6 linked regions of the Daphnia pulex genome follow. The protein of the gene in region 1 purifies or fractionates together with the protein of each later gene. This does not show direct contact. Links are inferred from orthologs where the notes say so. Each region holds a gene or a part of one and is shown in the gene's direction. Other genes may lie near its edges.

Evidence for each region.
Region 2: the proteins of histone acetyltransferase KAT2A-like (region 1) and molybdopterin synthase catalytic subunit-like purify together in Drosophila melanogaster (affinity purification with mass spectrometry; 3 studies listed by BioGRID, with this or other methods). This does not show direct contact. The link is inferred for Daphnia pulex from reciprocal best matches to the Drosophila melanogaster genes Gcn5 and Mocs2B.
Region 3: the proteins of histone acetyltransferase KAT2A-like (region 1) and transcriptional adapter 3-B-like purify together in Drosophila melanogaster (affinity purification with western blotting; 3 studies listed by BioGRID, with this or other methods). This does not show direct contact. The link is inferred for Daphnia pulex from reciprocal best matches to the Drosophila melanogaster genes Gcn5 and Ada3.
Region 4: the proteins of histone acetyltransferase KAT2A-like (region 1) and transformation/transcription domain-associated protein-like purify together in Drosophila melanogaster (affinity purification with western blotting; 4 studies listed by BioGRID). This does not show direct contact. The link is inferred for Daphnia pulex from reciprocal best matches to the Drosophila melanogaster genes Gcn5 and Nipped-A.
Region 5: the proteins of histone acetyltransferase KAT2A-like (region 1) and transcription initiation protein SPT3 homolog purify together in Drosophila melanogaster (affinity purification with western blotting; 3 studies listed by BioGRID, with this or other methods). This does not show direct contact. The link is inferred for Daphnia pulex from reciprocal best matches to the Drosophila melanogaster genes Gcn5 and Spt3.
Region 6: the proteins of histone acetyltransferase KAT2A-like (region 1) and DNA polymerase epsilon subunit 3-like purify together in Drosophila melanogaster (affinity purification with mass spectrometry; 3 studies listed by BioGRID). This does not show direct contact. The link is inferred for Daphnia pulex from reciprocal best matches to the Drosophila melanogaster genes Gcn5 and Chrac-14.

The regions. Positions count from the first base shown.
Region 1 is NC_060028.1:7,764,461-7,769,913, reverse strand, and holds the start of histone acetyltransferase KAT2A-like, read left to right. Parts: upstream 1-2,239; 5' UTR 2,240-2,427; coding exon 2,428-2,592; intron 2,593-2,707; coding exon 2,708-2,986; intron 2,987-3,067; coding exon 3,068-3,205; intron 3,206-3,260; coding exon 3,261-3,394; intron 3,395-3,465; coding exon 3,466-3,758; intron 3,759-3,824; coding exon 3,825-3,915; intron 3,916-3,977; coding exon 3,978-4,122; intron 4,123-4,192; coding exon 4,193-4,398; intron 4,399-4,468; coding exon 4,469-4,689; intron 4,690-4,747; coding exon 4,748-4,908; intron 4,909-4,978; coding exon 4,979-5,200; intron 5,201-5,260; coding exon 5,261-5,351; intron 5,352-5,411; coding exon 5,412-5,453. Other genes in the region: thyroid receptor-interacting protein 6-like, read left to right, coding at 131-300, 385-563, 629-749, 814-945; centromere protein S-like, read right to left, coding at 1,297-1,443, 1,505-1,571, 1,641-1,798, 1,856-1,870.
Region 2 is NC_060026.1:10,880,841-10,886,487, reverse strand, and holds molybdopterin synthase catalytic subunit-like, read left to right. Parts: upstream 1-2,126; 5' UTR 2,127-2,852; coding exon 2,853-2,981; intron 2,982-3,044; coding exon 3,045-3,157; intron 3,158-3,257; coding exon 3,258-3,445; intron 3,446-4,267; coding exon 4,268-4,362; intron 4,363-4,433; coding exon 4,434-4,599; intron 4,600-4,656; coding exon 4,657-4,985; 3' UTR 4,986-5,050; downstream 5,051-5,647. Other genes in the region: pecanex-like protein 1, read left to right, coding at 1-666, 733-873, 936-1,139. UniProt on the Drosophila melanogaster protein: Catalytic subunit of the molybdopterin synthase complex, a complex that catalyzes the conversion of precursor Z into molybdopterin.
Region 3 is NC_060019.1:11,487,026-11,492,561, reverse strand, and holds transcriptional adapter 3-B-like, read left to right. Parts: upstream 1-2,375; 5' UTR 2,376-2,527; coding exon 2,528-2,708; intron 2,709-2,783; coding exon 2,784-2,920; intron 2,921-2,993; coding exon 2,994-3,125; intron 3,126-3,188; coding exon 3,189-3,332; intron 3,333-3,409; coding exon 3,410-3,624; intron 3,625-3,689; coding exon 3,690-3,814; intron 3,815-3,880; coding exon 3,881-4,011; intron 4,012-4,068; coding exon 4,069-4,227; intron 4,228-4,297; coding exon 4,298-4,441; 3' UTR 4,442-4,531; downstream 4,532-5,536. Other genes in the region: protein OPI10 homolog, read right to left, coding at 4,621-5,063, 5,156-5,285, 5,375-5,404.
Region 4 is NC_060018.1:6,522,537-6,527,487, reverse strand, and holds part of transformation/transcription domain-associated protein-like, read left to right. Parts: coding exon 1-755; intron 756-836; coding exon 837-4,562; intron 4,563-4,628; coding exon 4,629-4,951. UniProt on the Drosophila melanogaster protein: Part of the Tip60 chromatin-remodeling complex which is involved in DNA repair. Upon induction of DNA double-strand breaks, this complex acetylates phosphorylated H2AV in nucleosomes and exchanges it with unmodified H2AV.
Region 5 is NC_060027.1:749,474-754,457, reverse strand, and holds transcription initiation protein SPT3 homolog, read left to right. Parts: upstream 1-2,040; 5' UTR 2,041-2,204; coding exon 2,205-2,259; intron 2,260-2,324; coding exon 2,325-2,502; intron 2,503-2,570; coding exon 2,571-2,877; intron 2,878-2,939; coding exon 2,940-3,197; intron 3,198-3,236; exon of another isoform or gene 3,237-3,266; coding exon 3,267-3,413; 3' UTR 3,414-3,414; coding exon of another isoform or gene 3,415-3,534; 3' UTR 3,535-3,595; downstream 3,596-4,984. Other genes in the region: HEAT repeat-containing protein 6-like, read right to left, coding at 1-759, 820-904, 969-1,205, 1,276-1,524, 1,580-1,765; DALR anticodon-binding domain-containing protein 3-like, read right to left, coding at 3,415-3,534, 3,596-3,891, 3,961-4,127, 4,203-4,468, 4,535-4,609. UniProt on the Drosophila melanogaster protein: Component of the transcription regulatory complex SAGA, a multiprotein complex that activates transcription by remodeling chromatin and mediating histone acetylation and deubiquitination. The SAGA complex predominantly acetylates histone H3.
Region 6 is NC_060025.1:6,578,890-6,583,149, reverse strand, and holds DNA polymerase epsilon subunit 3-like, read left to right. Parts: upstream 1-1,830; 5' UTR 1,831-1,978; intron 1,979-2,179; exon of another isoform or gene 2,180-2,202; 5' UTR 2,203-2,213; coding exon 2,214-2,399; intron 2,400-2,470; coding exon 2,471-2,555; intron 2,556-2,613; coding exon 2,614-2,810; 3' UTR 2,811-2,887; downstream 2,888-4,260. Other genes in the region: E3 ubiquitin-protein ligase LRSAM1-like, read right to left, coding at 3,044-3,163, 3,233-3,541, 3,620-3,863, 3,932-4,016, 4,079-4,260. UniProt on the Drosophila melanogaster protein: Accessory component of the DNA polymerase epsilon complex. Participates in DNA repair and in chromosomal DNA replication. Histone-like protein which promotes nucleosome sliding of ATP-dependent nucleosome remodeling complexes.

The DNA.
Region 1 (5,453 bases):
CGTCAAGGACGTTGATATATTTATTTTTTCCTCTTTCGGCTTTATGCCCGGCCTGGCCTTTGCTGTTTATACACAACACACACACACACACACACACTCACGCTGCTTTTCTTCTGAACGTCGTGCGCAGGAATGTGTGCCGATTGCGGTTTGAAGGTCGTGGGTGAAGGCTCTGGTTGCACGGCCATGGACCGTGTGTTCCACATAGCCTGTTTTACCTGTCGTGTCTGCAATTGCCGTCTGCAAGGAAAGCCGTTCTATGCGGTCGATGGCGAACCCCATTGTCAAGAATGTTACATGGTAAATTAAAAGGAAAAGAAAAAAAACAGATTTGAAATGGTGTCAGTTTCTAACCCTTGACTCCCTTTTCTGACGGACAAATAGAATAGCCTAGAGAAATGCTGTGTTTGCTCCGAGCCGATCCTCGACCGCATCTTACGTGCCACAGGAAAACCTTACCATCCCCAGTGTTTCACCTGCATTGTTTGTCTACTCTGTTTGGACGGCATTCCTTTCACGGTTGATGCCGCCAACCGGATTCACTGCATTGACGATTTCCACAAGTACGATTGTTATTTCTTGTTTCTTGACGAACCTTCGTTAAAAATACTATAATATTTGGTTTTAGGAAATTCGCTCCGCGCTGCTCTGTTTGTCACGATCCCATCATGCCAGAGCCTGGACAGGAAGAAACTGTTCGTGTTGTCGCTCTGGATCGGAGCTTTCACGTACAATGTTACAAATGCGAGGTAACTTGGCATATATTTACTTTTCTAATTGTCAACATCCTAACATGGTTTTTTGGGATATTAGGACTGCGATTTAGTTCTATCGTCGGAAGCTGAAGGGCGCGGTTGTTACCCGTTGGATGGGCGTGTCCTGTGTAAATCCTGCAATGCCATAAGAGTCAATGCGTTGACTTCCACCACTTCGACCGAGCTTTAAAGAAAATATTTCACGTTTTAGAAGACAAATGGAAGGGAAACTAAACAAGGAAAATGTGTCGGTGACTTTTAAAAAAATATATTTCCGCTATGTAACTCTGTATTAAATGACGAGTGCCTGACGACAGGACACAATTAAACGACATTCGACCATTTATTTGGTAGCCATAAAAAAAATAATAATCGGTTGGAATTTCTACGCCTCTTAATATGTATTCGGTGTTTCTATTTGCGGCGATTTAGAAGCGTCGTTTATTTTAATTATTTTTGATGTTCCGCATACCACATAATCCTCCCAAACGCACAAAACGACTGTCTTCCCTGATGTAGAACAATACAGCTTAGATCATAGTCATGTGAACATGTCATCATCATCTGTGTCCAGAGTCACTTCTGGTGGAACAGTCTCGATTTTCTTCTTCTTCACCAATGCTTTCCCCTTGTCTATTTTTGCATTATCCTCTGAGTTGGTTGATCCTAGTGTTTCTACTATGGCTTTCTGTAATAATTTTTCAATGGACTCAATTGGCTTCTCACAATGTTTTTACTTGAATACTTACTAAATCTTCATTCCTTCGAACCAGCAGCTTCACATCATCTCCATTGATTGTTGTGCGCTTTCCATGCCTCAATAAACAAATGTAAATAACAATGCATACATCTTATTTTAACATAAGCGATCAAGAAAATTAATACTTGGCAAAAGCTTCCAAATCTTGTGTAACCAGCTTGATCTTTTGCCAGACAATTTCATTTATTGTTGCTATCACATGCTTGTCAAAACTAATGTGAGTTCTAGCTTCCTGTTCTTCACACATTTTACCCACGGTAAAATGCAATGACGCTTTCAGCCGCTGTAAGTAAAAACGAAAATTATGTGCGATTCATGGTCTGCTAATAGATTTGCTTACTTCTTCGTGATCCATATTTACATCCAGGTTATTCCCCCATACAATTACACAGGAAAGTACACCTGAAGTTTAGTCCTTCAAGAAACAGATTTCGTAAACAGGGTAAATTTTTTAAATCTTCAGACGTAAATTCATAATTTCTTATGTTGTTGACTTGTTGTTAAGTGAAGTTGGAGTCAAACATCAGTGTCGGATTTTTTCAAATCGTATTTTAAAAGGCGATTTTCTTCACTTGTTTTTTTCGACAGTTTTTTAGTTTCTCACTTGCTGTCTTATGTCAAGTTTAAATTTTAAAAAATCTTTTCTTCATAAAATTAATTTTTATGTTTCGTTTTTCCGTTCCCAAAAACATAAGGATAAAGGTAAATGTGGCAATCTTGCGCCACCGGGGGTAAACAAAAATTTTCGCGACGCGCCTGGATTTCTGCTAGAAATCCCCGTAATTCCCCTAATTGCGTACTTCTGAGTTCAGTTAGTATATTTATGACGTTCACTAAAAGTGATGTACAACTACAAGAAAGGATATCAGATTTTGGTTTCCCGTGAATTTCAAGAATAAAAACATTTCCAATATGACTGACACTTCTAACCCAGTTGCGGCAAATAACAACTCAGCTGCTGGCGTTGGTACGAATCGTATGAACAACATTCAAAAAATTCAACTGCGGAAGCAGCAGGTTCGTGAATGGCCACATCCTAAGAAATTGGAAAAGCTAGCTGTTTATTCAAGTTGCAAGGTGGGTTTTCATTTTCAATGTTCTATAATGAACATGCTTTATTTCTTAAGATTATTTTTATTTTTATAATGAAGAACCACTTAACTGAGACATTTCTCCATAATTATTTTTTCAGTTTGATGAAAATTGCAAATGCAATGGATGGAAAAATCCTACTACACCACCAAATGTCAACAATACAGGAATAAATGTGGTTCTTCCATCAGCAAATTTAACTGATCCATGCCGCAGTTGTTCACATAACCTTTCAGATCATGTATCTCACTTGATAAATTCCAGTAATGAAGAACTAAACCAACTTTTAAGTCTGGTAGTGGACATAGAAAATTTATTTGTCTGTGTTAACAAGGAAGAAGATCCAGACAACAAACAAGTCTACTTTTGCCTTTTTAAAGTAATAACATTTGAAATCATTTTAGTGAAACAAGTATTATAAAAATGTTTTCTTAAATTTTCTTATTTTTTTGGAATATAGCTCTTGAGGAAATGTATAATGCAGATGACAAAACCAGTTGTAGAAGGGCCTTTAGGCTCTCCACCCTTTGAAAAACTAAGTATTAGCAAGGGTGTTACTAATTTTGTCATGTTCAAATACAGTCAACAAATCCCCAAGGTAAGAAATCAAAGTTATCCTTTAAAACATTAAATTAAATTTATTGTGTTCATAGGAGTTTCAAAAAATGTGTGATCTTGCCAAAATGTTTATCCACTGTTTAAATCACTGGAAATTGGAAACCCCTACTCAGTGGAAACAACATTATCCACAAGCTGACCTCTCCGTGTATCGAATTAGTTACACGAGGTAAACCTATTTTCAGTTTAAATTAGCTTTTGAAATTTTATTTTTAACTTAAAAATATTACACTCTGGCAGGTGGTTATGCTATTGCAATGTTCCGAGCTATTGCGACTCCCTACCGCAATATGAAACTAGTGCTATTTTTGGTCGGTCCTTTCTTCGACTGGTCTATTCCACCGTGCAGCGACAGCTCATGGATCGTTTCTTAGCCGAGAAAGACCGACTGCCACCCGAACGACGGGATATGATCATAAATAATTTTCCGAAGTTCTTGGCAGACATGGAAATGGAACTAGGAAATGATGCATCGCCTGTGTGGGATCCGTCGTATGTTCATCGACTCCCAAATCAACAGGAGAACATCAAAGGTATTTATTTCATTGCTTTCCAACTTATTAATGTTTAATCTAATTCTTGATAATTCTTGATATTAGAGGAAAATGTAACCCAGTCCAGCAACGAAGCAACCTTCCATCGTTTGACAAACAGCGGGATTGTCAGATCAATTTCCAAAGATGTAGAAAAGTAATGTCGAAACTTCATGTCCACCCTATGTCTACATGGAAATAATTTTCAATTTTAATTAGGAACTTGTTAAAGCGGCAAGTTGACAGCGAACCTAGTGTGGAAGGTGATGCGAAAAGGGTACGTTTGGATCATGACATATCTGAAGAAACTGTCGCCACAATTCTTGCCGTAATTAATGACCCCAAAAAGATGCTTGGTCCCGAAGTAAGCCAACAAATTTCTTACGTGTAAAGAATTAAGCTCTTCTAAACAGAGCTTTATTTTGGTTTTCCAGAGCGTCTTCCCAGAAAATGCACCAAGAGACGAAGCGGCAAAACAGGAAGAACGTCGTGGTTTGATATCCTTTCACGTAGTGGGAAATTCTCTTACTCAGACCGTATCCAAACAAACCATGTCATGGTTGGTTGGGTTACAAAATGTTTTTTCGCATCAATTACCACGAATGCCGAAAGAATACATCACACGGTTGGTTTTCGATTGGTGAGTCCTAAATTTTGTCTCTTATACTTTAAATCACCAAAGTTACAAATGTTATCCAATTTACGTGTAGCAAGCATCGGACTTTGGCGTTGATCAAAGATGGTCGACCAATCGGTGGTATCTGTTTTCGAATGTTCCCCATCCAAGGTTTCACCGAGATCGTATTCTGTGCCGTTACCTCCTCAGAGCAGGTTAAAGGGTACGGAACTCACTTGATGAATCACATTAAGGATTACCATATCAAACACAATGTACTTCACTTTCTTACCTTTGCCGACGAATACGCCATTGGTGAGCAAACAAAATTTTTTATTTTCAAATAATTTTCCTAATGCAGTGTGATGTGCAGGTTATTTCAAGAAACAAGGGTTTAGTAAAGAAATAAAGCTTCCAAAGTCCGTTTATAACGGTTACATCAAGGACTACGAAGGAGCAACTCTAATGGGATGCGAGTTAAATCCCCGTATTATTTACACAGAGTTTACCGCAATCATTCGAAAGCAGAAAGAGGTCTTACCCAGATTTAATATCCAACATTATTGTTCCTTTCTTAATTGTTTTTTTTTTTTTTAATTTTTAGATTGTCAAACATCTAATTGAAATGAAGCAGCAAGAAATTAGCCAAGTTCATCCAGGTCTCAATTGCTTTAAAGATGGTGTTCGAGAGATTCCTATTGACAGTATTCCCGGACTGAAATTGACGGGCTGGCGACCATCCAATGGCTACGGATCTAAGCGTCTAATCGAAGAGACTTTTGATGCAGAGCAATTATATCAAGCTTTACGTTCGGTTCTCAATCAGGTTTGGTTGCTTTAATTTTTATGAAAAGAAGAAAACATGTTATTCCATTTTTCTATATAGGTGAGAAGTCATGCCTCTTCCTGGCCCTTCTTGAAACCTGTTGATCGAGCGGAAGTACCAGATTATTACGACCACATCAAATTTCCGATGGGTAAGTTTACAATTGTGTTCAATTGATTAACGTTCCGATGTTAATTTAGTTTCATTGTAGATTTGAAGACCATGGGGGATCGATTAAAAAATCGTTACTACA
Region 2 (5,647 bases), on another chromosome or scaffold:
ACAGGAAGCTTGAATGGTAATACTGCAACGGCATCTGTTGGAAGAGGGTATCCGGCATTCACATGTAGCTTCACGGGATCAACTAGCAGCGCACTCGGACCAATGGGCTTAGGAACCTACGCCGCGTTAAATGCTTCTAATGCCGGAATGAATTCGTTTGCGTTCAACACGGCAAGAGGATCGAGTCCACGTAGTTCATTGGGCACCCAAAGAGGTAGCATTGCCTCGACGATGAGCGGGACATTGAGAAAACCGTCCGGCTCCACTCTCATAAGCCTAGCAGGAATGCTGGCCGAAAGGGATTCAGTCACAGCCGCTGCCGCCGCCGCGACGACCACTTCGACGCCCATGGGAAGTGGGACGTTAAATGGAAGTGCTCCATCCGTCCGTGAAAGACGTCCCAGTCGTGGTTCCGAGTCTCAGGAACGTGATGTTCGTTTACGTCGTACAGCACCAGAATCTAGTAGTAGCGCTACAGCTCGACAGAGAAATTCTTCCGGTAGAGGTGGCGAAGAAGAAAGACGTGGTGCAAGAGAAAGGAGTCGCAGACGAGATCGTTCTAGACGCGACCGTTTCGACAGACTTGAAACTGTCGACACTGACCGACCTCTGTACGAAACGGAGCCGTTTATGGACAACAGGATTTCTGTCGACCAACGAGTCAAGGTACTTTTTAAAGCTCTTCTAAATTGTATATTTGTAAATTAATTTACTTATTTTTTCTCTACTCAGATTGTCGATCCCAATCAAGTCTACGATACCATTAATCTGGGCCGACGAATTGATGTTCTCTGGCCAAGTCCAACAATTCGTAACCAAGGTGGAAAATCTTATTGGAAATCATGGCTTCCCGAAGTGGGTATGGAAGGACAGGTAAGAAAACTATACGCGATGGGTGAATAGTTTTCCTTTTACTGTACTTTGTGTTTGATTAGGTGGTACATCGTTGGGTGCCTAATCATCCAGATTCGCGACAAAGATCGCACGTGGATCGCGTCATCCTTCTCTTGAAAATAGACGATAAATACGTCCCAATCGCCGAATCGGCGGTCGAAATTGCATCATTGGTTAGTGTCAACATCGGGGATTCTATCGTCGTTAATGATACTAAGCTTAAAACCCAGGGAGTTGCTGATTGAAATTCCCAAACGCCGCAGTGTTTTTTTTTCGAGTCCATTAGGCTCATCGTTGTAATATGAAACGGTATTTTGGTTTGAATGTGAACCCCGAAATTTGTTCACGAACCTTGTTTTGTAAATAATGTTTGTGTTATGCGGAAATGCTATGTGTTATTTGACATTGACTAGGAAAAACCACTGTGATTTGAAAACATTGTCAATAACGTTTACCGAGTTTTTCAAATGTCGAATGAAATTTGAAATTGAGTAATTCGAAACAAATAAACTTTTGGATTGTTTGTAGTCTAGGAACTATATATTTAGATTTTTCCTTATTCAACTACCGCACCCGCCTCATAGTTACTGTTAATTATTAAAATCACGAAAATTCCCGTGTTAGTAGTGACACAAGGAGTGATGGTGAGAAAGTAAACACTTAACAGTCGCATAGAGGAGTGACTCCAGTAGCATAAGAATGCGCCTGTCATTTTATTTGGTGTCTGATAGAAAAACTTGTCGGATTTTTAAATAACAATAGCAGGGGTATGGAGAGAAAGATATCTCCATAAATCTCTCCATACCCCTGACAATAGTATGCCGGTATGCACATAGTTTGAAATTTGAATATTATGAAATTGTTGATTATGAAAGAATCGGTGAACGAATACGATCGCTCTGATACGATATAGATGTTATACCCTTGAAAAAGTAGTAGTCTAGAAAAAAATCGTGCGCAGTTTACGCCGATGCGCACCACAGCGGCAGATAGCAGAACTAAACTTTTTTTTACGCTTGACTACCTGTCTACTTCAAGTCCTTTGTTCGACAAGCAGTCGGTTCTCGTCTCGTTTCTTGAAGTAGACAGGTAGTCAAGCGTAATAAAAAGTTTAGTTCTGCTATCTGCCGCTGTGGTGCGCATCGGCGTAAACTGCGCACGATTTTTTGCTAGACCACTACTTTTTCAAGGGTATAACATCTATACACAATACACATAAAGTTGCATAGAATATTTGCATCGTTGTTGGCTTCTTGCAGATAAGGGGGCATAAAATTAATGTATATATTTTGCGCGCAAGAAAAACTCCGCGCATATTACAATTTTTGAATTTTTAAAAAATACGCTTTAGTCTCTTTATGTCATTGCCACTTCCCACTTGCCAGTGCCAGCAGACGACCAGTGACCAGACGCTTTTCTGATTGCCGAGCCTCTGTCACAGTTTTACAGACACATAGTCAACGCATAAGAAGAGCGTATTGCTAATCAAGATTACTACTCAAAGTTAAATTTACTTTTGCGGTGACAACTAATTAACATATATTTTTTTATTGATTGTTACATGTCAACAAATCTGGTTAAAATTATAGTCAGGGATGCTGTAGTCTTGACCTTGATCAATGGATGAAGTAGTTATTCGGATTCTGTTCTTTGCAAAGGCCAGAGAGTTAGTTGGAAAAGATTTTGACAATATTTCACTTTCCAGAACAACTTCAAGAATCACTGGGGCAAATCTTTTGTGCATCATTACAGAACAATTTCCAGCTCTAGAATCCATATCAAAGAACATTGTCCTAGCTGCTGATGAAGAATATGTTGAATTTGATCAGCTTATAGACATTAAAAATTGCAAGGAAATTGCAGTGATCCCACCATTAAGTGGTGGCTAGGTCGCTAGGATTCTTCATAAGCAGTGTGCTACAGCTTAATTCGCCAGAGCCCTTCAATTGTATTTTAAAATGGATATTATTAACTTAGTTGAAGAACAGCTTGATGTGAATTCAATCTACTCTAAAGTGGTTGAACATTCTACTGGAGCTGTGTCATTATTTGTGGGAACAACAAGGAATAATTTTGAAGGAAAGAAAGTAATGTCAATTTGAATAATCTAAAGTCAAATATTTCTAAATCAAATTTGCTTTATATTTAAGGTGATTAGTCTAGAGTATGAAGCTTTCAAGCCAATGGCATGTAAAGAAATCAAGAAAATTTGTGAGAATATTAGAGAAAAATGGAAGGTTAAACACATTGCATTCCACCATAGGTATAATTTTTTTTTTTACCATACTGTAGTTATAATGAGGAAACTTAAGAAACATTTTTTTGTTTGTTTGTTTGTTTTAATTACCTATTTTTCTTTCCAGATTGGGAGAAGTTCCGGTTGGTGAAGCAAGTGTTGTAATAGCTGTTTCATCCGAGCATCGAGCCGAATCTTTAGAGGCTGTTCAATTTGGGATTGACGCGCTTAAGAAGTCTGTACCAATTTGGAAGAAAGAACTTTATAGTGATGGTGCTCCTGAATGGAAAGCCAACAAAGAATGCCTGTGGACAAGTAAAAATTAAACAAATAATGCTTAGTTGTTCCTATTTGTTGTATGAATTTTGAATTCATAACAGTACTGATTCTTAACAAGTAACACAAATATTGAACCTTAATCGATTTTCCGATATCAGAACAATATTTGAAATGGTTTCCAGTACTTTTCATTAGTTAAAAATCGGAGCATGAACGTTAGTTTGGCTGTAGTTTCAATCTTACTAAAGTGATAATATCTACGTAGTGCTGTCAAGTCTGACATTTAAAATATAAGGTTTTTAAGGGTTTTTAATTCTCTTTTTATTTTTTAACTAAGCAATGTTAACATTCATTTTACTTATTATCCAAGTACTTTCCAGTTCCCAACGCTTTCCAATCTTTGCCCTTTCATTATATAATAACATATACTGTGTGATTCTAAAGATGAGTAGCTGCAATGCTGCATTCTACGCACTGCTTCAATCTATTAGACGTTTTCGTGTGGTTCGACAGCTTTGCTGCCTATAAGCTTTAAGCTAATTATCTGACGGAATAGGGACAACCACACATAGACGTCCTTTATTTAGTATTTAGTTGTGACTTCTGCATTTGTTCCCTTCACTGCCGCGTACGTCATTTGATTATTTGGCTTATAGAAGTATGGCTTAAAGAAAGCACAAGCGTTCAGAAGTTTTTATTAGTCAAAATTAAAAAAAATAAGTACGAAAATATTCTAATCTTGTTAGGTGGGGAAATTCGGGATTTGAAATTTTTTATTTCCATGAGAATGAGTTGTTGGAATATTTGCTTGATGTGATAGATGCTTAATAGTCAATAGCATGTTTTGAATTGATATAGATCAAGAAGAAGACGCTAGTCTATCTAAAAAGAGGAAAATAATGGTGGACTATGCAGCTGCCGATTGCGTTCAGATCAAGGCTTCAAATTTAGAGGTATTGTTGATCCGTTTTACTTTTATCAAGTCTTTTCTCAATAAATATTTTAAATGTTTTTAATTTTTCAGTTGGGAAAACGAATTACTGCGTTTATGGAACGGAAACGATCAGAGTCGGACGTATTCAACGTTCAGGAGTTCTGTCACAGACTACCATTAAACGAATTAGAGAATTCATGTGCTCGCACAGAGGCAGTGCTTGTAAGCAGAAAAGATAGTAAAAGTCATCTAAAGGGTAAAATTATTTTATTTTAAGGATTCAACGCTGATTACTGATTTCTTTACGTTTTAGTGTCGAGATGCGTAAATATGTGGGGACCACAAACACACTCTGAAGTTCCGGCTCCATCTTCAGTAAACACCAAATTGAATCCGACTCCTGCTATCCAAGAACGGCTACAAAATATGGAAAAACACTTGGGTTTTAATTCAAGAGAACAACCTATTCCACTGGATGTGTACGGACGCTTGAAAGCCCTTGAAGATAGAATCCTTCATTTGGAAAGCATTAGTCCTGAATATTTCGACGGACCGTTTAATCTTCAGAATAATAAAGAAGATGAAGATTTGATATCAAAAATTGAACAAAAAATGGATGAATTACGTAGAAAATTAGTATAGTACCACTTTCTTTTTTCTGGTTGTAATCTGATCAATAAAATATAATGCATCCTTCAAATTGGTAATTGCCTTATTAGTTATTAGTTATTATTGCTTATTGTAGTCTGGGAGCCGAGGGACAGAGGCGGGGCAGTAGACTTCTTGGCTACTGGCAAAAGGTTTAGGGGGAAATACTGTCATAAAGTTGATCGGGTATTATTGATATAAATTTCTACGTCCATTTGTGAAAGTCGCAATCGTCTAGCTAACATATTTTTGGAGATATTAACGGAAAACTTTCAGGGGGTAGCCGAATTTTTGATTTTTTTTTTTTCGATTTTTGACCGTTTCATCCTGGCGGATTGGCATGTCCGGCTGGTGATATTTCGATGTGGATACAAAATATGGTATATAAATGACTATATCTATACGTTGGGTAGAGCCAATAATAAGAAGAGGCCCGGAGTTGGATCTCTTCCCAGGCAATGATGACAAAAGCAAACAACAACAAACCAAATCATCCGATTGACTTTTCCGCAAGCTCCGATGCGGATGGAGTGAGGAGGAGGAGGAGGGTAGAAAATAAAGAATAAAAAGACGTAGGCTACTATACATTTATGTATGTATTTCTTGCTGTGCTGGATGCGGGGGTTGTGTTGGCTAGACAATTTTCGGGGAAGTCG
Region 3 (5,536 bases), on another chromosome or scaffold:
TTGGAAAGAGGCGGATCTTGACGACTAGCACACTGGTGTGCAATCGATCTCATCAGCGTTGCGATTATCGAAGCTTCTTTACAGCCCACTCGGTCGGGAAGAAAAAGTACAGGATCGCATCGATAATCAATTCTTTAGGGAACTAGGAATATCGTCGTATGGCTTTGTTATCGTGTGCCAGTCAGAGTCAGAATCGCCTCCAAGTTCGTTGTCAATGAAATGGCTTTGTAGCGGATGAATGCCAATTCTGGCAACTACTTCAGTCCTCTTTCGACATCATTATCACTCCAGTGTCGATGATACTTTCCACTGTTAACGTGTTGTTTGTTGATGTTGTTCGCTTTTTTAGAGGGGTCGCGACCTACTAGGTGGATCAGATTAAGGCAATACACGCGAGGTACGCATCGAGTCCCGGTGCCCCAAGTGTCGCCGGATCGTAACCCAAACGACGGCCTGTGATGCAAGGACTTGCCGGTAACAACAAAGAGAGTCCACGTGCCCAAAAAGGGCTAGAGGGGCCTGGTATGAAATGATCTTGGGTTTCCGTGTTGACTTGGATTTCAGAGCTCTCTTTTAGCTTCATGATGCGGGCTCAGTCAACTAACGATGATGCATGTAAAAGGAAGCAGTTGAAATAGGGGGGTGAAGATATGCCTACCAGAGAGAAAGAGAAGGGAGCGGTCGTCCTGGAGACCAGCTCTGCTGGCGTGACCTCCCGCCTGCCTAACTGAATGACACAGCCAAGGGATTCCAGTAGATTTTGAATGCGATCGATTCCTTTCCCCCACTGCACCCCAAGCGCCAATCCGAGAACCTCGGACTGTAAGAACGACTGGAGATGCTCTCGTTTGTGTGGCGTCTACGAGAGGCCGAAGCACAACAATAATAACAACCATCAACACAGAGAGGGGAGAAAAACACGGGACAATGTCTGTTTTCATAGGAGGAACAGTTTCTTTAGAGCCCTATCGTGTGACTCCTCCTCGAATCTGGAAGAGATGGATTCATCGGGTGGAAGAGAAAGGCGACGGAGATCAGGGATGGGAATGGATCAAGAAAGTATGTGTGTTTGGACGCTGCGCACAAGTCCAAGTGCCGTCGTCGGATTCAACCCCCACTCCTCCTTCCCTTCCTCTTTTTCCTCCCTCCTGACGTGATCAATACCTGAGCTACAGATTCCCCCATGCCCTATTTCAACCCCGCCAACGCATGTACAGCTGTGCAACCCCCCACCCATTTGCAATCGTCGCAAAAAGAAACAATTCACTTCCAAATGAACTCACTATCAAATTTTACCACCTGATATCTGCCTCTCATACGAATGCTACTGTTTGGATAAATTAGGGTCAGACTGCTGCATGTCACACAAGATTACTCAAGGTTTACTAGGCAGGATGGTATAAAAAAACCTGTGCTAATTATGAAACGAAGAGAGGAATTTTGAGAACATGCTTTGATTATGAAGGTGTCATGTTTCACCATCCAGAACTTTTATGATTGTGCAACACAGCGGTCTCCTTACCTTGAAATGAACGGATAGCTGCAGTACACACAAAGCAGTAGGAGCGAACTGGAAAATTGTGTCTAAAATGTCACTGAAAAATGGCTGTTTCAAGGAAACTCAGGATTCTTCAATAATTATTGAAAACGAAGGATGTCCCCACACGCACTCGACCCCCCTTTGGGTTCTTCAAAGCAAGTGACACAGATGGTGTAGCCCACACATATCACAATATGAAGAAAAACAAGGTTTCCACAGCTATTTGTAGAAAAAATAAATTGCACTTCACGAAGTTCGGTCTGGAATTCCTCTCTGATAGGCCGCAGATTCAAACTTTAATTTCAAACAGACAATAAACTGTCATGAAACGTAGATAATGTTAGTGTCACAAAAACTCGTTGCCTTTTCACTCGGTAGCCATATTGGAATAAACTGAAAACACCAGAGAAAAGAAGACTGGAGACCCGCAGACGAGGGAATTTTACAGCCCTGAAACTAGCGCTGTTTCAGACATAACGGCCACATAATAATATAGTGAAACACCAACTAAATTAAATAAATACATTGGCCTATGGAATTTGTAGTTAAATGAAATCGATAAAATATCATACAAATTTATATTAAGCATTCTGCATTCATTAAAGAAATACATGAAAATTTGAAAAATTTGAAAATCAAGTCTAAAACTTTGAGTTGCAATTTCCCTGATTTTATTATTTCGAAAACTGCGTTCAAATATTTTTAACAAGTAATTTAAAAAAATATATTAGACTTTGATTGTCTTTTCTCTTTCGACTTAAACGGTTTAAGTTATCCAAAGTTTTCATTAAACCATTCAAGGAGGCGCTGCTATCGTTTGACGAATACCCAGTCTCATTTTCTCTCTTACGTTGTAAATCGAAATATCGAATCGAAAGTTTGAAAGTTAGGTATCGATTCTAGTCCAAGCTTTTTTGACAAGTAAACAACGTAAATCGTACATTCGTACGTGAATTGTCTTGTCAAATTTAAAATTTGGGCCGAAAAATGGTTCCGGGTAAAGGTAATATCTCCAAAGGAAAAGGAGCTACAAATGTCAAAGGTTCAACGTCAGCCACTAAAGTCAAAAGGGAAAGAGTTTCAGAACCTGAGGACTCAGATGAAGAAGTTACTCTAGCTGATGTCCGAGCTGTCGACTATGGAAAGGTTTTACCTCGTTTCACATCCAGTAAGAACTAATTTTTTTTGTTTTTCTGTTGGTTTTCTAATTAACAAAGATATAAATATAATCAATTGTTTATAGTTACGGCTAGATCAGAAGAAGGGGGTGTTATGATGGATGATTTGGACACCTTACAAATGGAACTAGAAACACTACTCAATTGTGTTGTTTTGCGTTCCTTAAATTTACAGAGAGAAATTGCAGGAATGACTGAAAAGGTATTCATCAAAGTTTTTTTTTCATCTTGTGTCTATTTTCTGTTTGCCAACAACACTATGTGTTTTTTTTTAGCCTCCATCTCCTGGAAAACGATCAAAACAAGAAGAGCGTTCACCTAAAAAGTTCAAAGATCAACCAGGAAAGCTTAGAGATGCACACACACCTCCACTTTTAAAGCAGATGAAAATTAAATCTGCTCTAGCTGTACCTAGTTTCATGAAAAGTAGTTTTATTTACAGTCAAGTAATGATCTCTTTGATTTTATAGAAGCCTATCCCACCAGAAGGAGTTGTTGAGGAAATGCCTCCTTTAGAATTAATGAAGACATCAACTGCCAAAAATGATACACCAAACAAATTTTGGGCTTCTGTAGAACCATACTGTGCTCTTTTTACAGATGATGATTTAAAGGTAAAATGATTTGTATAAGATTAACATAACTTGGAATTAAATTTTTTTTCTTGTGGTAATTGATGTTTTAACTAAAGCTAGTAGAAGAACTAATCTCAACTCATAATGAGGATGAAGAATACCTCAAAATTCCTCCTCTCGGTCGCCACTATACACTTCGGTGGGCAGAAGATGATTTACTTCAGGAGCAAAGAGAGGGCTCTCGTTTCGGCGAGAAAAAGAAGATTACCTCTGGATCTTCTGTAGGAACGGAAGAGGCTCAAAGATTAATGGACACAGCAGCTAAAAACAAGTAAAAAATTAATATTTTTTTTTCTAATAGCCGCATATTGCTTAACGATAGATTTAATAACTCAGTGCTGAAACAAATACTACATCTGCGACGGGGATGTGCGGACCCATGACCCAGCGTCTCATTTCAGCTCTTTTAGAAGAAAATATTGTAACTTCTGTGCAGGACACAATGGAATCAGAAGGGCAAGGTATATTGTTCATTGTTTTCCTGTTTAAAACTAATGCCAACTAGCGGTTCGAAATTACTGTAACAGACGAAAACGCGAAATCTACTGGCACGAAGGCAGCAATGAATGGACCTCAAGCTGCTGCACTTGAACGTCGTATTCGTCAAGAGTTAGAAGAACAAGGCATTTTAACTTCCGAAGAAGCCAACGTTAATTCGGTAATTTATTCATTCAAAACACATTTCAGAGGTAGTATTATTAACCCCCTGATTAAGGCCGATGATGAAATATTGACGGAGTTACGTCGATGCCAAGGAGAATTGAGGGCCATATCACTGCACAACTTGAAACAACTGAAACGACTGTACCGCCTCAGTCAAGAAGAAATGAAACGTCAGGAAATACGGAAAAAATTGATTGCAGCGGACGCTGAGGTATTCATTTTTCAAGTGTCATCTCTGCTTATCGAGCTCGTCTACATTATTCCCAACTTCTTTTGAATAGGTATTAGACGTATATCGTAAAATGGCTGCCGCTAAACAAAAAAAACGCCCGTTAAGCAAAAAAGAAAAAGATCAGATGTGGAAAATACTTCGTGATCGTGAAGCGATTGTCAAACAGCTGGACACGGGAACGACTAGTATGTAAATATTTTTTCAAACAATACAAGACGTGTGTGATGAAGATGAACTAAGATGGTTAATTGAACTTTGCATAACAATATAAACTTTTAACAAGCCTTGTTTATTACTTAAATCAATTAGCATGTATTCAACAATGAAAAGTTGAGGTTACTTGAAGTTGATAAGAATTTAATAAGAATTCTTTCAACTTCTCCAAAACTGAGGATTCAATTCTAGTTTTCTAATAAAGTTAGTGTACCAGTTTCTTAAAACAGACATTGGGATGAAACTTTCTGATGGATTTGGTGTCATTTGTGATTGAGTAACAGCAAAACTTGCTGCATAATTGAAAAGATTTTGAAGAGTACGTTCAGCAAACTCCTGGAATGTTGTGGTGCTACTAGGCTCTGTAATGGCACTAGGAGATTGATTGGAAATGAGGCTAAGAGGCTCAATTGAAATCCCTATTTGAGCATGATGATGTATTTCCCCCTGGTGCACCCCAAACATACTAGGGCTATAACTTCCCGGATTCTTCTTCAAGCCAGTGATTTTGTAAATGCTTGACGGTTTGTTATTGGTGAGGTTACCTAGTAGTTGCCACACTGGTGGGGCTGATAGATCTGGCTCGGGCCACCTGAAGTACACTATTAAAAAAATTATTTTGTGGTATTTTAAAATCTATCTTCCGGAGTATGCAAAAATTTTTCCTTTAACATAGAATTGTACTCTAACCAACCTGATCCACCAAATCCCTCTGGGAATGGTGATGCGCCAGTCAAAAATACTACCAAATGGTTGATATTATCGGCATCAGGAATAGTAATAACAAATTGTGAGTCTGTAATTTGTTGAAAGTTGGTCTGGACCTGTAAAAATGTATTGACAATAGCAAATCAAGACACCTACTGTAGTTGTGGAAACGTATTTACACGCGAACACAAACACTGAAACTTACCAAACGCCCCGATACAATAAGACCAAACATTTCTCAAGAAAACCACAAATTCTGATCAGTCGAAGTAACAATTGAAAATTGAATGCAATTCTGTATGTTTCAGAAACGCGAATACAACGATTTATCCTTCATTCCAAATTCTAGATGTTTTCGAAAATTCGT
Region 4 (4,951 bases), on another chromosome or scaffold:
TGAAAGCACTTGATGTGTACGCCTTAAATATTCCGAGTGCGGTCGGAGCGGAGACCTCTGGCAGTCTTAATAGCACCGTCGTTGGCTTTCCGGTCGGTGGGGCTTCCGCTGCTCGGCCGACTGTTCCAGCACAAACTATTCGCTCTAAAGAAGAAAAAGAAGTATTGGAACATTTTGCTGGTGTTTTCGCCATGATGAATCCGCAGACTTTCAAGGAAGTATTTGCCACAACAATTGACTACGTGGTAGAGCGCATTTACCGCAATAGCGCTTTGCAGGTAGTTGCAAATTCATTTCTTGCAAACCCTTCCACCTCCGCTGTTTTCGCCACCATCCTCGTCGAATATTTGCTGAATCACATGGAAGAAATGGGATTGAACATGGAGCGTTCTAATCTTTATTTGAAGTTGTTCAAACTTGTGTTTGGTAGCGTTTCTTTGTTTGCTGCGGAGAATGAACAAATGTTAAAGCCACATCTACCGCACATTGTCAACAAATCTATGGAATTAGCTTTGAGTGCTAAAGAGCCCTACAACTATTTCCTCCTGCTGCGGGCACTTTTTCGATCCATCGGCGGAGGTAGTCATGACCTCCTTTATCAAGAATTTTTGCCATTGCTTCCGAATCTTCTTCAAAGTCTAAACAGTCTTCAAAGTGGACTTCACAAGCAGCATATGAAGGATCTCTTCGTGGAACTTTGCCTGACTGTTCCCGTGCGGTTATCTTCACTCCTTCCTTACCTCCCGATGCTTATGGTAATAAAATTATGAGTTTTTTTTTTATTATTATTCTTTCTTTTCTAAATTTGTTATTTATTGTTTCCAATTTTTTTATAGGATCCTCTTGTGTCTTCGCTGAATGGTTCACAGACTTTGGTGAGCCAAGGTTTAAGAACCTTAGAACTCTGTGTCGACAATCTTCAACCAGATTTTCTTTACGAGCATATTCAGCCAGTAAGAGCTGAGTTGATGCAAGCATTATGGCGTACTTTGAGGAATCCAAACGACCAGATCGCACACGTTGCCTTTAGAGTCCTTGGTAAGTTTGGAGGTGGTAATCGTAAAATGATGGTTGAACCGCAACGACTAGACTATTGGGACAAAGAGTCTGGTCCTTGCATCGTTATCCACTTCCAAGAATTGAAACAGCCCGTTTCCCTGCCCGTCGAGAAGATTATGGAGACAGCGTTTTCTGCTTTGAAATCAAGTAGTACCGAGCCATTTTACCGAACGCAATGCTGGGAAGTAGTTCGTTGCTTTCTGCTATCTTCACTTCACCTGGATGACGATCGTCTCACAATGCAGCGTTTATTATCTCATCATTCGTTCTTGGAAGGAGATATTCATCCTGTGCAAAGTCCTTCGTTCCAGTGCAGTGACAAGCAAGCAAGACATGTACATCAAACGGCGGTTACTGCCATGTTCGTCGCAGCAGCCATAAAGGAGTTGAGGCAAGCAGTTCTGCCCACTATGGTATCTCTAGTCCGACACTACACTCTTGTTGCCGTCGTCCAGCAGGCGGGGCCGTTTCCTATGCTTGTTCCTGGTCGCTCTGCCCAACGGATTTTAGGCATGGATCCACTCGTGTTGGTTGATGCATTGGCTACGATTATGGGCCACGAAGAAAAAGAACTTTGCAAACCTGGACACTTGGCGCTAGTGTTGATGCTTGACACTGCATCTATTGTGCTCGGTTCCCAAGAGAGAGCTTGTAAACTTCCTCTAATGGAATATCTGGCAGAACGAATGTGCAGCCTTTGCTACGACAGAGCTTGGTATGCAAAATTGGGCGGTTGCATTGCCATCAAGTTCCTGTTTGAACGAATGGCATTCAAGTGGGTTCTCGAACATCAGTATGTATTCCTAAAGGCCCTCTTGTTCGTCATGATGGATCTCACTGGAGAAGTGTCGAGCGGCGCTATTGACATGGCCAAAGCCAATTTGGAGAAAATGCTTCTTTTATGCGCTACTCCGCTGCCAGAATCGTCTCCTTCTCCGGAAATTTTGTCTGCGCAAAAGAAAAGTCTGCATGACGTGACCCATGAACTCGTACGACAAGTGACCAGTCCAAATTCAACTGTACGTGAGCAAGCCATGCACCTATTGCAGGTTTTGGCACGGATAACAAACCAAACACCAACGGCCATCATGGAACCACACAAGGAAGTGTTGGCTGACATGATTCCGCCTAAAAAGCATTTACTGAGACACCAGCCAGTCAACGCCCAAATTGGGTTAATGGACGGTAACACCTTCTGCACGACGCTGAAACCCCGACTGTTCACCATTGATCTTAATATTGTCGAGCATAAGGTTTTCTTCCACGAACTACTATCGCTGTGCGAGGTGGACGACACTGTTCTTCTGAAATTACCTTGCTACAAGTCCGTGAGCAACTTGACCCCATTGAGAAAATCCGCTTTGCAAGCGTTAGCCGCTTGCCACTACATCACTCAGTGCCGAGACAAGATCTTGAATGTTATCTTCAAAGCTTTGAGTTGTAACAATGCTGAACTTCAAGAAACGGCATTCTCCTGTATGAAGAAGATACTGGTGGGCACTCAGATCGAAATGGAGACTGTACATACCGCCGTTCGTCCGTTGTTACTCTTGCTGGGCGATTATCGCAGTTTGTCTACCAATGTCATATTGCGCTTGTCTCACACGACTCAACTTTTCCCCCACGTATTCAACGAAAAGCTTTGTGAACAACTTCTTCAGCATTTACGCAAGTGGCTCGAAGTAGTGATCGTGGCGTTTAAAACCGGAGGAAATCGTCCAGTTGCTACCCAGACTAGCCACGGACCTTTCAGCAGCAGCAGCTTGTGCAGCAATGAAGTGAAGGTTGCAATTGGCATCATTGGACTTTTTCATCAGATTCCAGCTGCTTCGGCAAGATTCCTGGAAATCCTGTGCAAATTAGTGCTGCAAACAGAACGTGCCTTAGGATTAGAACCGGGCAGTCCTTTCCGAGAGCCCTTAATCAAGTTTCTTCTGCGATATCCTACCGAAACAATTGATTTACTTTTACGGGAAGATATCATTGCCGATGCTGATTGGAATCGGTTCCTTGAACATTTTGTTCGCCACAGTGAAGGCAAACCGTTTCGTGACGCTATTAAGGCCAACACAAATCGATTGGTTAATTTTGTGCTTGGCGGTCTGCCTTCGGAGTCTACAACACCCAAACCTCATGCACTGCAAGTGACGGTTCGAATCTTGCGCATCATGATCTGCAAGGACGACCAGTGGATATCTGAACAGCCCGATTTAATAACCGTGCTGACTAAAGCTTGGTGTTCGGGTCGCTACGAGGAAAAGAAAACTACGAGCCTTTCGATCGCTGAGCGAAAGGAGCAACGTCAACTGGCCAAAATTTTACTGTATTACTTTCAGCAGCACCCTGAAGAAGTTGAATTACTCTTCCATTTGATGCGCGCGTTGTGCGATCGCACGATTCCCGATTTCTACTTTTTGAAAGAATTTTTGGAAAAAACAGTCGGCCAATCATATGGAGCTGACTGGAAGCGAGCGTCTTTTTTCAAGTTTGTCGAGCTTTTCCGAAATCCCAACTTGGGACAAGAACTTAAAGCCAAAATTCTCCAACACATCATAATTCCAGGATTTGCCGTCAGTTTCGAGCGAGGAGAAGGAGAAATTCTCATTGGTACGCCACCGACCCCCGACCAAGATAACAGTGAAAGCGTTGTCAGTGTTTTCATCAATAAAGTGATTGATCCAGACAATCCTTTTGGAACTTCGGACGCTGTTCGAATCCTGTTGCTTCAGCTGAGCTGTTTGTTGGTTGAACAAGCTTCGCAACATATTCACGACGCCGCCAATAAACGCCAGGGAAACAAACTACGTCGCCTTATGACTTTTGCATGGCCGTGTCTGTTGAGCAAGAACTGTGTTGATCCAACCACCCGTTACCATGGCCATTTGCTGTTGAGTCACATCATTGCAAAGTTCGCCATTCACAAACGAATTGTGCTGCAAGTTTTCCACAGTTTGTTGAAGGCCCACGCTGTTGAAGCTCGCAATGTTGTCCGACAAGCACTGGAGATTCTAACGCCAGCTATGCCTCTTCGCATGGAGGACGGAAACACCATGCTTACCCACTGGACGAAGAAAATCATTGTTGAAGAGGGTCACACAATTGCTCAACTGGTGCACATTCTCCAGTTGCTGGTGCGTCATTACAAAGTGTATTATCCAGTTCGACATCATCTGGTGCAGTACATGATAACCTCGATTCAGCGCCTGGGATTTACTCCAACGGCCACGCTAGAGCACAAGAAGTTAGCCGTCGAATTGGCCGAAGTTGTCCTCAAGTGGGAGCTTCAGCGTATGAAGGATGAAGCTGATTCAGGAGGTGAGTCCTGCGATGAGACCATGCCATCTGGATCCGTAAAACGATCAGGAAATGACGGACTTCCAGAAGCAAAGAAGCCACGACTTGCCTCATCTTCTTCTTCAGGGAAAATGCTGGAAGTCAGTAAACCGATTGAGAAAACTCACTGTGATGCCATAGCAAACTTTTTATTAAGACTGGCGTGTCAGGTATGCTTTGTGTGTATGTTTTTGAGTTAGTATACGTGCTAAAATGTTTTTTCAATCTCTTATCAGGTGAACGATGCAACCTCGACCGCCAACAGTTCGGGCGAGCAGTTATCTAAACGATGTGTGGCTCTTCTGAAGATGGCTTTAAAACCCGATGTTTGGCCAAATTGTGAACTGAAACTAGCTTGGTTCGATCGACTGTTTCAGACTGCCGATTCTCCCGCAGCCGCTACTGCGGCCGCATCGGCAGCAGCAGCCGCTTCTGCTCCAAATTTCACCAATATTTGTACAGCTCTCGATTTACTAACATTCCTGTTAAGTATTTTGCGGAAGGAACAAATCCTGGCAGGCTTCAAACCACTTCAACGCGGGCTTTCTTCACTCATGAA
Region 5 (4,984 bases), on another chromosome or scaffold:
GAACAGTTTTAGAAACCAATTCTATTGGCAGCTTTTCGTAAGGAAATACAGTAGCTGCGACTGCAAGGCATTTGAAAATCTGGATAAGAGCACTGGCTGATTGTTCGGCACTCACGGAGAGAATCAGTGAACGCTGTACTGCAATGACAGTTTCTGCAAGTGTTTGGCTCAAGGGAATAAAAGCCCCTGTTCTATTCTCTTGATACGCTGCCATGGCTAGGGTCGGCTGGATCGCTTGTAAAAGCGAAGACAGAGCAACCACAGCGCTGCACCGCACTTTGATTGAAGAATCCTTCAATATCGGGGTGACGAGTGAGTGGCGGTAAACTTGTCCTTGAGACGAATCAGGCAAAAATGAAGACCAGTAACCCATTACGGATCGTTGTTCACAAAATTTAAAGGCAGCCGACAACATTTTCAAAGCGTTGGAGCGGACTTTTGCCTGGGCTTCTTTCAGTCTTTGATGAGACTGCACATCAGAATCAGATAGTTCCGAGTCTGAGCTGCTGACAGGAATGTTGTTCTTTGTCCACGGTTTATTTTTCGTTTGGAAATGGACTTCAATGTCAACTTCCTCGATGTTGCTATCTCGATTCTTGGATTGAACTTTGCTGGGAGGACGTTTCTTTCTCACCTTCGGATTCTTCGTCTGATCTGACTTGGAAGAAAGTTCCACAAATGGAAGGGATGATGGACGAATTGGAGCGTACTTTAGTGGCTGACCAGCGATTCCAAAAAGCATGTAGTATCGTGCTAGACCTTAGATAAAGAATATATATCATATCCAAATAAGCAGGTCTCCGAAATGTGCAGCCTTACTAAAGATACTTTCCAAATGAGCCACTGTTGAAGCAGTAAATCTAACAAATGTATTCTCTAATCCATAGAAACAAAGACTAAGAACCTAGTAAAATAAATGAATGTGGTTAAGAAATTTCTTCATGACATTATAAGAAACACTGTTTTACCTTGAGAAGGTTAAGATTGTTTGGATCGGAATTTAGGTGTTGCTCTTGGAATTTTATGAACTGGATGATACATGTGTTAATTACATCCTTTGATATTGTAGACCAATCCTTTTCTCCCGAACAGTTGGTAAAATTGCAGAGAATTTTCAGAATGAGAACTGTTTGATTATTGATTTGTTGTTCTTCATTCAATTTATTGATCAAGAATCCAGAAGGACTAAGCACTTTCTCCAAAGCCTAATTTAGTAATTTCAATGGGAAACATTATTGTTCAAAATTTTTCATTCATTCCCAGTTTCAGACCTACTTTAGTTTGTTTAACTTCTTTGAAGTTGACTGCCACAGCAAGACAATTGAAAATGTCAGTAAATATTAAATGATTTTCATTCTTAAGGGATTTTATAATCCAATCAATTAATTGCTCTGATGCTTGACTTGTTAAGTGTACATTTGGAAGTTGTAAAACTTGTTCCCATATTTGACAAGTCTTGGCAACTTTAAAAGATTCTTCATGTTTCACAATTTTTAAAACATCTGATACTAAAATTACAGAATCCTATAAACATAAGATTTTAAACAGTGAAATGAATATAACTTTTATGGAATCTTACTTGAACATTGACTGACGACGATTCCAATTCTTTCCTTTTAAGATCGAAGAAAAGGGTGTTCAGATTATCCAAGAAATTTGTTATTTCTTCCGGATTTGCATTTTTCTTATCTAACAATAGGTTGAGCTTTTCTCGAACCCCTGTCAGATAATTTGTGTCTAATGATTTAAGTTGAGAAAGAGCCATGACTCTATCTCGATTGTCACACTTTGTTTACAAATTGAAGGTCCTTGATTTTTTCGACATTTTCGTCTGCTATGTGTCGACGAAGTACCGAAGGCATCCGCTTGGTTTTTTTTTTTCTTAATTGAAAAATGTTTAAGATTAATGAAAGCGTGGTTCATTCAAAAGTTCATAAAAAATAAAGATTTTTTTTTCCTTACTAAATTTTGGGAAAAAAATTGAAATAGTTTCAAAATTAGCTTTGGCATTGAGGCAAATTCAAATATGTCTAGCTAGGCTAGCAGACTACCACACAATACCTTCTTTTAGGGTTCAGTTCAGACTTCAAACAATAACAAATGGAGTTTTAGAAAACACCGGTTGATATTACTATTTGGTACACGAATTATACCAACACAACTGATATTTTGTAAAAATTAGCAAAATTCTCAATCTCCTAAAAATGCCAGCTGCTGATGTATCCACTAATTCTTCCACCGATGGATGGTACATCTTGGGTAAGTTCATATTAACGACCAACAATGTCAACATTTCCTAACTACATTTAATTCGACATGTTTAGAAATCCAAAAAATGATGTATGGATTTGGCGACAGCAAATATTCGCTGAAAGAAACTGCTGAATTAGTAGAGAAAATTGTGAAGGAACAACTAATTCAGTTCCTGAATGCACTGTCTGAGGTTGCTGTTAAAATTAACTCAAAGAAAATTGGTATCAAAGAATTTCTAGTCTTACTTAGGTAGGTAACCTTCAGTTTAACAATATCTCAAGTTATTCAATATATTGAAGTGATTTCTGTTAAATTAGGCACAGTCCAGTTAAACTGAGAAGATTTTGCACCTATTTACAAGCCAGTGGGTTTAAGGATTTGGCAAAAGAAGATGATTTGCCTAAAGACATAATGACTGAATTTTCTGATCTTCACACTGGAAATAAAAAACTGAATTCTGCTCTTGCATTCCTACAACACCTTGATCCATCATGTTATCTGTGTAATGTGGCAGATCCATCTAAACCTTTCCTGTTACCTGATGATGCCCTCAAGGAACGAAATGAAAGGATTGAGAGAATGACATTAGCCATGGAGAAGGGGCAGTACATTGAATATTCTCAAGTATTTTGATTCAACCTAACTGCTTTTTCAAAATCTAGATTTAACAGAATTGTTTTTGTCAGGCCAAATCTACCTCATTTAAGAGAGGCCAGCCTTCTGGTAAATTTCAAGATTGGTTACTTAAAGATTCTCCAGCTCCTGAGGTTGCTTTAAGTGCGACAGCTTGGTCTATTCTCAGTTACTTTGCTTACGAAACCATCGCACAAATAGTAGATCTGGCCTTCATAGTACGAAGAGACAATATGGCTGGGCAAGTGAGTGACGCAGTTCAACGTAACACTGCACCAAGAGTATCTCCAGCGAATGCTGATTTGTTCAAGGTAAAAGGATTAAAATGAATGTTACAATAATTATAATCATTCTTTAAAACAAAATTTCCGTATTTTTAGCCGACATGGTCAAATTCGATGAAACCTCTTCAAACAGCGGAAGTCTCTGAGGCCATCAGACGGTTCAACAATACACACAACTCAATTTTTTCTCCATTCCGAAGAAATGGTGTTCCTCCTCCTGGACATCGACTTCTGGCACTGTAATTTAAACGTACTGCAAGGGCTTCAAATTCAATATGGCGAAAGCTGCGTCGTAAATTGTTAATATCACTTTCAACATCCAAATTCGTGCGTGCATTGTTGGATGCGATCGGTTGTGTTCATCCTAAAAATAGGAAACTTTAATGTAAAATTGTATGCAAGAAACCTGAATAAAGAATACTCACACATAGGGTGCGAACTGAACTGTAGTAATGGGAATAATCCTGCGATAAAAATAGCAAAAATCGCCATAACTCTGAAGTTATCTTTGCGATGCGAGTGAGTGAAAATTTGTTCAGCATAGGAACAAATCCAGCAATATATTTGGAGGTGATTTCAATTTCTGCTTTATGCTTCAGCAACTTAAAATTGGTCGTATCCAAACTTGGCAGTGGAGGGTAAAGTGAGCAATCCACTCCATCAGAAAATTTTTGAAGTATACAGGCAACCCTACTTCTGTTGTACAAAACCTTTATTGCTTCTAAAATAGAAATGAAAAATTCAATAATTAGTTATTAAAAAGGAACCATGATTTTGGTAAACTGAATACCTCTGAATTGAGGATCAATTTCTAGTCCAGCTAGTCCTACCGCATGCATTGGTTTTGTGGTGTCATTGTGCAAGAAATCATAACTGATAACAGCCTCTGTGATCCATGCTTCAGACATACTTTTACCTTCCGTTGGATGCCTGGATTTAACATGCAACTGTCGTAGCCTTCAAACACAAAAAACACCTACATAGTTAGTATATTAAGGCATTTTAGAGTAAATTGAAATTACAGTTTTTTACCTCATATATTCTTCAAATGATGTCGTCACATCCTTTTTTTTGGTAGAAGGGTTGATAACTGGTCCCACAACACAAGTGATGGTTGAACTCAAGGACTTGTTATCAGAGTTTTTAATACTTGTAAGAATGATTTCAGTATTCTGATCTTTGTAGGCAAAGATATTGCTCAGAACTCTGCTTGCATATTGTGCTCTCATATCAGTAAGGGTGATATTGCTGTTGCATCTCGTAGTCACGTTAGACCGACCTCCACTGATCATCAAAGGCTGCAAAAAGAAATTAAATAGGTATTCACTTATATTTCATTTTCAGCAAAAAATAAACCTATTTACAATCAGAGTCATAGAGTTGAGGGTTTCTTTGAATACTGCTTTGAAATCAACATTGTTTTTCGTTGATTTTTCCATTGTTATTCGAAAATCGAGCCGAGCCAAGTGTCTGCTTCGACTAAACAGCTGATCTCAGAGACAATGTTGTCAAACATTCAATTGATCTACCAAGACGAATTTTGAAAAATGCATTCGTATTCGAAAGGACTTATGGAAATTAAAGATATTATTTAGATTAAATAAAATTGAAAATCAGTAATCAATTAAGAATAAATTCTTTATATTTTAAAATGATAAATCTCTTTACATGAAGATAAAGGGCGCCAACACAGATTTTGTGGCGAAGGCGACAATTTCAGAAAGTGACAACCCGAAAGTAATAACCAAAACACAGTTAAATGAATGCCTCGTGATTTTTAATAACCCATTAGAAATATTCGTTTACTACTCTTC
Region 6 (4,260 bases), on another chromosome or scaffold:
AGCTGAAAGAGATACTTACATAATAAGTAAGCAGATCGAAATCATAACTCCCGATAACTCCGCGTCGTTATAGATCCCGTCTAGCGTCTACAAACAAGGCATGGCTAAATATATATACGCGTATACAGCACACAACCAATTTCGACCAATTTCGACTTTTCGCTTGGTTTGTATTGCAGACGTAATCACCCGCTCTTATTGCTAATTCCTGCGGGATCCGGATCCCATCCATTCCACTTTTCGAAAATAAAACATGAAAGCGAAAAACATGCGGGGGAAATAAACTAACAAGGCGCGAAGCAATTGATTATCTTATTCGTCGCCAAGTGCTCACAGACAGTTCACACGGCCGATCTCTAACAAAATGTGTTAACGGGAAAGCGCATGTCAAACTTTTTGACAAGAAAGTCTGTCACGCGTGTCAAGGATGAGAAATTAAAAAACAAAAAACAAAACTCCCGTGTTAAATCCTGATGGGATGATTGCTGGTGTACGCCCACGCGGATAAAAATATACAGGATAAAAAATGATGCGATTGATGTCTTTGAAAAATTTTGAGATCGGAAAAATTATATATGAAATTAACGATGATTAAAGACAGTTTGATTACCTAGTCTATTTAAAAAAAAAGATGAACCATTATTTTAGTAGAGATTTGTTTCTTAAATTGTTGTTATTTATTTATAGAGAAACTTGGGAGTAAGCAAAACTTGTTCATTTATCCGTCTCATTCAAAAGAGCGTCAGACTTATTTCTTCAACTTTTTGTTTTTCCATCCACGTCTGATTTACAGTTTCCGATGTGGGCGGATGTAGGTCTGAAGGGGCCAATGGTAGACAGCGACACAGCGTATATCAGTTTTGTATCCGTTGCCTGGAGTCGGAGTGGATGAGTAGTATCCCGGGGCATATCCTGCCTTTTCTCTGATTCCCGACTCTCACACTTTGTGTAGGATTTGAAAATATATCTTTGGATCAAACTTGTCTTGAATTCCATGACCTGATTTGTAGGCGACTGGGGATGGTAGGAGGTTTCCGAGAAACGAATTTTATAAGTGAAAGTTAGAGTCGCAAATCAATAATCTAACTTCTCGTAATTTCGGCGTTTGGCAATCTATTATTCCCTATAGGCTATATACGGGTGTATAGCAAGCGATTATCCATTCAAAAGTTTTCAGGTACACACAACAGTCATTCCCTTGTAAGATTAGCATCGATGGAAATCTAACTTTTGGCTGCTAAAGGAAGTTTGGGTCCCTTTGACTCGGAGATGTAGAGTGGCTTGGCGAAAAGGAGGAAAGTTTGTTATCCTATTACACATGCCGCTCTTGACACTATCTAACGACAAGTCTAACGATCTTTTGCCGTCTTTTGCGTACGTCATATTTGGTGATCTCCATCCATTCCGTCAAAATCGTTATTGAATCTAATAAGAACAGAAGTGATCACGATTGTTAAAATTTTCATGTCGATTTGTTTTAACATCCAAGTGTTGTTCAAGATACAATAAATAATACTAGTAAAACAAAATCGGTTCAAGTTAGAATAACCAATCTAAGCTGCTGAAGCAACAATGTACTGTAAATACTAAATATTGGTGTAATAAAATTGATATTTCACTAGTTTGATATTTAACCTATATCTTGTCTGTTCATATATTAAGATCTGCTTATCTTCTTCGTGCTACATAAAAAAAATTATTATTTATCTTTATCATACGCCTCTTTATTATGCGACTCGCGACTGCTGGTCTAACGGGGGCGAAAAACTTATTTGTGCAAACGGTTAGAATATTACTCACAGATGGCGATGTGGTCTTGGCACTTCTTATTTTCCCGCCCTTTATTGTAGCAGAAGCAACATCGAAATCATCAACTGTGACTGTGTATTTGTTTCAGCAAAAATCTGAAGTTTTCAAGTGTCGGAGTGTTGGTTTCGGTATAATCGGAAATAAATTATTGTAGGAGAAGTTTTGACAGGTAGGATGTTTTCTTTTTCCTATGAAAATCTTGTAACAAGTGTAGTTAATTTTTTAAAAAGTTTCTAGAAATCTCTTGGAAATGACTAAATGGTGTTATTATTTGAAATAATAAGTGACATTTTCTCTCTTTATTGATTTGAATAGAATTCATATGATGAAATATATGTTTTGTTCAACTAATGTATCTAGCTGATGACAGGAATTTTGTTTTGATTTTCCCAGGTACGTAAGCAATGGCAGAACGACCTGAAGACTTAAACCTTCCCAACTCAATAGTAGCAAGAATCATAAAAGAATCCTTGCCAGAAGGTGTTAATGTGTCTAAAGAGGCTAGAACCGCCATTGCTAAAGCTGCTTCTGTATTTGTTCTCTATTGCACATCATGCTCTAACAATCTGGCTATGAAAGCTAACAGAAAGGTGAATCACAGAATCAGAAAATTTTGTTCCATTCTCTCAATTATTTACTAAAATTTTTTTGTTAAATAAAGATCATCAGTGGCCCGGATGTCCTGGGAGCAATGGCTGACATGGAATTTGAAAGATTTATTGAACCACTACAGGCTTCTCTTGAAGGTAATTTCTCTTTTTCAAAACAATTTTTAGAATGTCAACATGTTCTTTTCTTTTACAGTGTACAAGAAAGCACAGAAGGAACGCAAAGAAGCTATGGCTAAACGGAAACAGGAAAAATCCGACAAAAAACCGGAAGATATTGAAGAAGGATCAGATGAAGGTGGAGAAAATGATAATGGAAATGATAATGAAAATGACAATGAAAATGATAATGAAAATGAAAAGGAGAATGAGGATGAAGAAGTGGATGAATGATCTTAAATGACAAAAAAATGTGTGATAAAATTTGTATTCGCACGACAAAAAAATTAATAAAAGAAAAAAAAACACGACCTCAAATAGTTTGTATACTGTGAAAATTAAAGTGTGATTTACGTCTCGAAACGACAGTAGCAACAGACAAGATAAAAATGAAGAAAACATTTTTTTTAGGATGCCAAAGGCACAAAGATATGACCGATGAAAAGCTAAAAAGCAAATAAATAACATTATGAGTGAACCTGCAGTCGTTTAACGATGGTTGCCCGGCACATTGGGCATTGATTTAGCTTGTTGCCACATCCAGAACAACAACATAAGTGTCCACAAGAAAGGAATATAACTTGGCACTGTTTAATATAAATGCAATTAGAATGAATTCGTTTTGAAAAATTGAACTGTAATAAATGTAAGCTTACTGAACTGTCCAAGCATATGACGCAATTAGTTTCCATAAAAACTTCCATCGGAGGAGCGGATGCCACCTCCTCATCATCGAGTACAGAGGAAGGCGCACTTGGAAGATACTGTTGTGCATGTTGAATATTATCAGGCATGTTATCGATTAGACGCTGATACTGGACAAGCCAATAGTCGGCCGCTTGGTTCTGTCGCTGGACTTCCATTTCTTCCAAGAGGTGTTTTAGATCTTTACGACGCAGCTGCTGTTGCTCTATTAACTGGGAAAGCAAGTCAGCCAGTTGTATACGATTTTCCGAGAGCAAGTTCTAGGATCGATAAGAAAAAAAAAAGGAATTAATAAATGACCAAATTAAAGTCATACGTATTTCAGACTTTGCACTCACGTTAGTAATATCGATTTGCCTGCTTTTGCGCTGTAATTCCCAAGCGGTAAGCTGATTAAGTTTATCTACTACGGCTCGAATATCTTCGCTAAGCTGGGTGGTCCGCCGATCACGCTGGGATAACAATGACGAAAACGCTTGGTACTGCCAAGATTCTTCTTCTAATAACGACATGACTAGAGCAGCTTGGTCTTTTTGCCGATGCTGCAAAATTTGGTCAATCTGACGATTTTTTACTTCATCCCTAAAAATTAACCATAAAAATCTTTTAATACCAACAAAATTGTGTTCGATAATAATGCTTAGGCTTACTCCATTTGCACCACATTGAATAGGGTTTTATTCAACATTGTTTTCTGACTGGATATGTCTTGTTCAAGCTGGGTTTTCATAGCATCTGTTCAAGAAGTGACCGGATTTTTACAAGTTATAACATTTCAACTTGTGATAATGATTTACTCAAAATATCTTCTTTTCTAAGATTCTTGAATTCTTCTAACTTGAGGGCCAGTAGGCAATGACATTGATTTTCTTCTGCTTTTACTAGATCCTGAAGTTGTATCTGATCTCTGTGGGCCTGGATATTTTTTAATACATAAACAATACTGGCTTCCATTTCAGCTTCAGTTTTATAAAGCTGT